Arabidopsis thaliana: one gene and its partner. The protein of the gene in region 1 interacts with the protein of each later gene in a pairwise test. Each region holds a gene or a part of one and is shown in the gene's direction. Other genes may lie near its edges.

What was found.
Region 2: the proteins of ACT7 (region 1) and ADF6 interact in a two-hybrid assay, tested with the Arabidopsis thaliana proteins (one large-scale study listed by BioGRID).

Annotation. Positions count from the first base shown.
Region 1 is NC_003076.8:3,049,840-3,053,766, forward strand, and holds the start of ACT7 (actin 7), read left to right. Parts: upstream 1-2,222; 5' UTR 2,223-2,423; intron 2,424-2,963; 5' UTR 2,964-2,969; coding exon 2,970-3,029; intron 3,030-3,123; coding exon 3,124-3,517; intron 3,518-3,603; coding exon 3,604-3,927. UniProt on the Arabidopsis thaliana protein: Actins are highly conserved proteins that are involved in various types of cell motility and are ubiquitously expressed in all eukaryotic cells.
Region 2 is NC_003071.7:13,291,868-13,295,794, forward strand, and holds ADF6 (actin depolymerizing factor 6), read left to right. Parts: upstream 1-2,085; 5' UTR 2,086-2,303; coding exon 2,304-2,327; intron 2,328-2,575; coding exon 2,576-2,841; intron 2,842-2,930; coding exon 2,931-3,081; 3' UTR 3,082-3,543; downstream 3,544-3,927. Other genes in the region: RUS2 (root UVB sensitive protein (Protein of unknown function, DUF647)), read right to left, coding at 1-16, 107-229, 326-505, 669-766, 849-942, 1,033-1,092, 1,214-1,298, 1,400-1,488 and 2 more. UniProt on the Arabidopsis thaliana protein: Actin-depolymerizing protein. Severs actin filaments (F-actin) and binds to actin monomers.

The DNA of each region.
Region 1 (3,927 bases):
CATTTATATTTAGGGACTGAATTATATATTATATTGTAACATTTAACATACAGTATATCATGTGTTGCTAGTTATGATTTACATGCACTTCGAAAATGGTATCTGATTTTTTATATGATTTAGAACTTATCTGGCACACATCATTGAATAGGATCTAACACATTAAAACACTGTCTAACTTATTTGTTTGTATGTGTGTGTTAAATCATCATTTTAGCTAAGATTTTTAACCATAGGCAAAGAAATGACTCAAATGAGCAAACGAGAAACTGCAGACAGCAACATATATCAAACTAACTCTAATAGGCCCAATATAGCCCAATAAGAAGTGTGACCGATGGAGGGAAGAATCGAATTTAAATGATACAGAGTTTTTTTGTTTGGAGAGGAATAGACTGATATGATAGTCCGTGAAAATATTTTCATCTTGTTTTCAATGTGGAGATATTTTAAAGTTTGAAACCAATCCAAGTTCTAAAACATCAAAAGCTTTTATTCTCTGTTTAAACCACTTGGTTGGTCTTGGTCTTCTTGAAATATACAAACCAGACCCAAACGATAATCAGTGAAGATGACTGCATCATTGGGTCTTTAAGTTTCCTATTGGGCCAAATCAGCCCAACTATATTATTGTTATTATTTCAGTCCATTAAAGATTTTCGGCCCGTTTTATCGTTGGGAATTCATCTATATTTCCCCAATTTGATGATACACAGAACAATTTCATGTGTATACGATAAGAGGCAAATTCAAAATTTGCAATCAATGTAAAGTGGAAATGAGAAGCATGGTGGCTCAAATCAACTTATCTTTCCTTGGAATACAAACTACAAATGATGACGGATTTGGCTTCCCTTTGAATTTACCTTTTACCTCTCTCTTTTTTTTTTTTTATAGGTAATGTTGTTATTGGACAAAAATGTTAAGAAAATAAAGGTGAATGATAAATTAGAAGAGTACCCATAACTATTTTGATTATTTAAGTTGCCAACCAAGCTAGACCACTTTCCAACTTTTATAGACAAAGTGTAAGAACTTAGCACATGCTTTCCAACAAGGAATATGAAACTTTATTTCAAAAAGATTATTGTTAAAGCTTTTAATCATTCTAAAAGGTGATTAATATTTGAATTATTGGAAGTAACTTGTTTTGGACATATACCAAATTAATCAATAGTATCAATGGACATATAACATGTTGTGAGACTATATCAATGTTATATTCCAAGCCAGTTAAACCAATTTATAATGATACCATTTATAGATAAACAATACACTTTACACACATTATTTTCTTAGAATTGGGTCTCATATAGAACACTCACAAAGGTGACTTATAAAAAATGCTTCAAAGATCCTAGTCTTTTAGTGTGCATTCCTCAAAATCGTAGTTGATATGTATCTTGCTCCTATTCGGGTTTTGGTCTAGAATTTTGGTTTCAGGAATTTTCAATTAACTCATTAAAACATTTATAACATAAAAAGATATATCACGAAAACCGATCAATCATTTAATATATTTTTATTTTATTTTATTTTTTGTCACAATAAAATCTAGACAATAGTGTTTAAACATTTATCAAAAAATTCACCTTACGATTAATTTGTTTTATATTTTGTGATGATGCAATTTAATCTATATAAATTATAAAACATATCGATAATCTGTGTTTTTCTTTTTCTACATATAAAATTCATAAAAATGAGAGTTTTGAAGCTCTTAAAATGGACTAGTCAACAATTGGCCAATCTTTGTTCTAAATTGCTAATAAACGACCATTTCCGTCAATTCTCCTTGGTTGCAACAGTCTACCCGTCAAATGTTTACTAATTTATAAGTGTGAAGTTTGAATTATGAAAGACGAAATCGTATTAAAAATTCACAAGAATAAACAACTCCATAGATTTTCAAAAAAACAGTCACGAGAAAAAAACCACAGTCCGTTTGTCTGCTCTTCTAGTTTTTATTATTTTTCTATTAATAGTTTTTTGTTATTTCGAGAATAAAATTTGAACGATGTCCGAACCACAAAAGCCGAGCCGATAAATCCTAAGCCGAGCCTAACTTTAGCCGTAACCATCAGTCACGGCTCCCGGGCTAATTCATTTGAACCGAATCATAATCAACGGTTTAGATCAAACTCAAAACAATCTAACGGCAACATAGACGCGTCGGTGAGCTAAAAAGAGTGTGAAAGCCAGGTCACCATAGCATTGTCTCTCCCAGATTTTTTATTTGGGAAATAATAGAAGAAATAGAAAAAAATAAAAGAGTGAGAAAAATCGTAGAGCTATATATTCGCACATGTACTCGTTTCGCTTTCCTTAGTGTTAGCTGCTGCCGCTGTTGTTTCTCCTCCATTTCTCTATCTTTCTCTCTCGCTGCTTCTCGAATCTTCTGTATCATCTTCTTCTTCTTCAAGGTGAGTCTCTAGATCCGTTCGCTTGATTTTGCTGCTCGTTAGTCGTTATTGTTGATTCTCTATGCCGATTTCGCTAGATCTGTTTAGCATGCGTTGTGGTTTTATGAGAAAATCTTTGTTTTGGGGGTTGCTTGTTATGTGATTCGATCCGTGCTTGTTGGATCGATCTGAGCTAATTCTTAAGGTTTATGTGTTAGATCTATGGAGTTTGAGGATTCTTCTCGCTTCTGTCGATCTCTCGCTGTTATTTTTGTTTTTTTCAGTGAAGTGAAGTTGTTTAGTTCGAAATGACTTCGTGTATGCTCGATTGATCTGGTTTTAATCTTCGATCTGTTAGGTGTTGATGTTTACAAGTGAATTCTAGTGTTTTCTCTTTGAGATCTGTGAAGTTTGAACCTAGTTTTCTCAATAATCAACATATGAAGCGATGTTTGAGTTTCAATAAACGCTGCTAATCTTCGAAACTAAGTTGTGATCTGATTCGTGTTTACTTCATGAGCTTATCCAATTCATTTCGGTTTCATTTTACTTTTTTTTTAGTGAAAAATGGCCGATGGTGAGGATATTCAGCCACTTGTCTGTGACAATGGAACTGGAATGGTGAAGGTGAGTTAGACTGTTTATTTAGATACTGTATGGTTCTAACCTTCTTTGTTGTACATGTGTAAGACTACTGATCATGATTTTTGTATATTAACAGGCTGGTTTTGCTGGTGATGATGCCCCGAGAGCAGTGTTCCCAAGTATTGTTGGTCGTCCTAGGCACACTGGTGTCATGGTTGGTATGGGTCAGAAAGATGCTTACGTTGGTGATGAAGCTCAGTCCAAGAGAGGTATCCTCACTCTGAAGTATCCAATCGAACATGGTATTGTAAGTAACTGGGATGACATGGAAAAGATATGGCATCACACTTTCTACAACGAGCTTCGTGTTGCCCCTGAGGAGCACCCAGTTCTACTCACAGAGGCACCTCTTAACCCTAAAGCTAACAGGGAGAAGATGACTCAGATCATGTTTGAGACATTCAATGTCCCTGCCATGTATGTTGCCATTCAGGCCGTTCTTTCTCTCTATGCCAGTGGTCGTACAACCGGTTAGTTCTTAACTCTAAACATCCAAGTCTGAGTTATATTATCTTCTTACTTGTATTTACTTAAAGTCGTTCTCTTTTTGTAACAGGTATTGTGCTCGATTCTGGTGATGGTGTGTCTCACACTGTGCCAATCTACGAGGGGTATGCTCTTCCTCATGCTATCCTTCGTCTTGATCTTGCGGGTCGGGATCTCACAGACTCACTCATGAAGATTCTCACTGAGAGAGGTTACATGTTCACCACTACCGCAGAACGGGAAATTGTCCGTGACATAAAGGAGAAACTTGCTTATGTCGCTCTTGACTACGAGCAAGAGCTAGAGACAGCCAAGAGCAGTTCTTCAGTGGAGAAGAACTACGAGCTACCTGATGGACAAGTCATAACCATCGGAGCTGAGAGATTCCGTTGTC
Region 2 (3,927 bases), on another chromosome or scaffold:
TTGGGACTTTACCAGTCTGAGAAGATACAACAACACCTCTTATGTAATTAAAAGAAATCAACAAGATGGTTTACAGAAAAATTGAACAAAAGATGATGCTAATTACCTTGAGAAAATTAGCCACAATCAAAGCGGTTCGCTGTGGATTCAGTGTGTTGATTGGTACCCCTCGCATTTGTTCTACAACGCTATACACATGTACAACCGAAAGAATTGACCCAACCACCAACTGCAGATATCAGCCTTTTCATAATAGAGTTGCAATCCAAACAAATAGAAACTGCATTTTGAAATAGAGAGTAACGATGTAGCAGAATGACATTACCTTTCCCTCCATTGATGAACATATTGTGGACGCAAGTTGAATACCAGCACCTATCCCGGCAACATTGAAAAGAGTAGAGATAGCTTCTCCTTTTGCAAAAATGTCACTAAGATTTCCTTCTTTGGCAAAAGATGAATATATTGGTAATCTTGTTGCCCTTGCTGCAACTGTAGCCATTCCCTATTTAAAACAAACAATGCCAGAAAAGTATGAAAAACAGGAAACCAGTGAAGCTGATTGATGTATAAAAGGATGGTCTTTAGAAAGCTAATATATCTCATAGGTCTCCTATTGAAGCTGCTGAGGAAAGCAGGCACAGATGTTCTAAGAAAGATATCTATACCTTAGCAAAATTCCCCAGACCAGCCATTTCAAGAAACAGATGCGGGCATAATGGAGAAACGAGTTCCAGACCAGTACCAAGATCGTAAAGCACGTCAGCTGAAAATTATGAATCAATACTTTTTATAGTTAACGCTATAAAGACATCAGCAGAAACATGTAGCTACAGAATGGTGCATACCCAGAATCCTCCACCGTTTAGGCTCAGAGTCCATTCTTGCACCCAAATTGCTACATATTAGCTTTCCGACATGTTGCATCCCATCCTTCAATATCTACAGAACCAATAGAGTAAACAAAACTTTCACTTACGGACAGGGACTGAACAAGCAAACGAACAAACAAACTGAAGTGGTTTAACATACCCAGCTAACAACAGTTGCTTGTGCCGGTGTAGGCCGCAAGCCTGCAGCAAACAACAGTGACTGCAAAGGAATGATACAAAAAAAAGTTATGTGTCCATGTGAAAACCTCCATTACAACAGCTCAAGTAAACAAATGCAATTTTCCCAAAATCAATAATCAAAGCTGAATCATGAAGAAGACCTGAGTCGATAACACTGATAATGCTGCACTAGAGAAATGCTGAAGTGCTCGAAACTGTGTGTACCTAAGATATCCTTCGTTGACACTATAGAGAAGAAGTAAAGAAAGAAACTTGGTTAAAACACATGCTTTAAGGCTAAAGCCTAGAGACTCTCTAAAAACAAAAGTTCCAAACTTTGAGTTCACCTGTATGGATAACCAGAAGGAAAGAACTTGTTAAGGAAAGATTCAACCATCTTCTGAGGAACAGGTCTTGCATCATCAACAACTTTCATCTAAAACGTGATAATTCACATAATGATTCTACAAGTTGAGAGCAATGGCATAAGAGAGACAAGAACGAGGGAGAGGGAGATTTACAGAGAGGTGGCCGTCGGATTGGAACTGATAACGGTGAGAGACAGAATCAGAGGTTTCGAACCAGTAAACCGGAAAGTCTTCAGGGCTCTTCAACATTACTGGGTCTTCCTTCTTTATCAACTTCACCTTCTCCTGCTTCGTTCCCCAAGTTACAAAGTCATTCACTATAGTTTGGAGAATCATAAAATGAGATTAAAAATACAATAGAATAAAGATTGTGAAATCCTACAAGAAACTGCATCTCTGAGACACGATGGCACAGTCAGGTTCCGAACGTTAAGAGTCGCCGGAGTTGGAGTGAACCACCACAACAGTAATCGCCTAGAGCCGTCTAAAAACAAAATCAAAGAGATTATCTTAACAACGACGTCGTTTCTTCGTTCCTTTTCTACTTCTGAGGCCCAAATGATTTTTGTTACTATTCACTAATGGGCTTAATTAAGGCCCAATATTGATAGATACGCGGCGACTAGTTAAGGGGCAACAAATATGGCCCACTTAAAAAGAAACACGACTTTTCTTATCGCGTTGTTCTAACGCCACCGACCGAACACTTCTTTTTCTTCTGCAATAAACCAAAAAAAGTTAAAAATTCAAAAACTTAATTACTAAGCAAAAGTGTGCACGAAGAACAAAGCGACGCATCCGATTTTATTTGTTTGATAAGTTCGTGTCGTCTTCGTCTCTCTAACCCAATTCTGTGGTGTCTGAAGAAAGCAGAATCAAATCCATGTCTTTCAGAGGACTTAGCAGGGTAAAATTACAAAAAAAAACTTTTCTCTTCTTGCTTAAAATCGATGTACTCTTGTCTATGTCGCAAGCATCTTCAATGTTAAAAATTTGATTTTTATGAAGTCGATGTTAAAAAAAACTAAACCCATCTCCATTTTTACTCTTATTGAGGGTTTAAGATCACTAGATGAAGTCAATTCGATGAATTTTGGATTAAAAATCGAATCTTTTGGTATGGTTTTGATATGTGTTTTGGTTTTATATCTGTAGCCAAATGCAATATCTGGAATGGGTGTTGCAGATGAGAGCAAAACCACATTTCTAGAGCTTCAAAGGAAAAAAACTCATCGCTATGTGGTCTTCAAGATTGATGAATCCAAAAAAGAAGTTGTTGTTGAGAAAACTGGAAATCCTACAGAGAGCTACGATGATTTCTTAGCTTCACTTCCTGATAATGACTGCAGATACGCTGTTTATGACTTTGATTTCGTTACTTCTGAGAATTGTCAAAAGAGCAAAATCTTCTTCTTTGCTTGGTTAGTTTGATTTTTACCATTAGTAAGTCTATAAGGGTTTTGATGTGTTGAGACTAAAACATTTTGATTTGGGACTACTGATGTTGTAGGTCTCCTTCGACCTCTGGAATTCGAGCCAAGGTGCTTTACTCGACTTCTAAAGACCAGTTAAGTAGGGAGCTTCAAGGGATTCACTATGAGATTCAAGCTACTGATCCTACTGAGGTTGATCTTGAAGTGTTACGCGAACGAGCGAACTGAGAGCAAGCAAGATTGCTATGTCTATTCAAAACTTATGGTAATGTAATGAATAATTCGTATTCTCTGTGGATTGATTTGTGTAAACACAGTTTCATGTTCTATGTCAAACTGTATAACCTCTGGTGTTTCAGATTGCACAACCTAAAGCTTAGGTAAACTGAATATGGTTTAAGATCGTAAAAGGTTGATATATTAGTAATGTTAAGAGGGAGAAGAAACTTCTCTTTAGTAGATAACGAGAATGTTGATGAGCATGATGAGAGAGTTCTTAAACTAGTCTAGCAAATTCTGTATAAGCTCTTGTTGTAGCCATCTTGAATTCGAGTCTAATCCTTGCGAACAATATAGAAAGTGGTAGTGTGTAAAGTTTCCCTCATCATTTGTGGTTTCTTTTTCTCACTTTCTTCGGTGTAGTAAAATTTAAGTTGTATGTATAATAGTTCTATCATATACCTGCTTTCTAAAACAAAACAAAAAAAACCTCTTTCTTGTTTCCGCATATCCCCTTCCGATTCCATTGAGAGCAAAACCATTTTATGAGGTTGTATACTTAACCTACCATTCCTAATTCCTAATTGCTTAACTGTTACCAAACTGTGATGTCAAAAAGAAAAATGTTACCAAACTGGAGTCAAAATGACATAAATACCCTTGACCATTTGAGAAAAAATGTAAGGAATTAGGAGGTTGCAAGTGGGGTCCATTGCCGTTGTGGCCAAAAGCGAGATTGCATGACCCAACTGAAATCTCAATTAGGAAGGAGATTGCATTATTTTTATATGTTTATTTATCATATCTCATATTAAGGTCCATTTCCTTCAGTCTATTATCATCATGTATCCACTA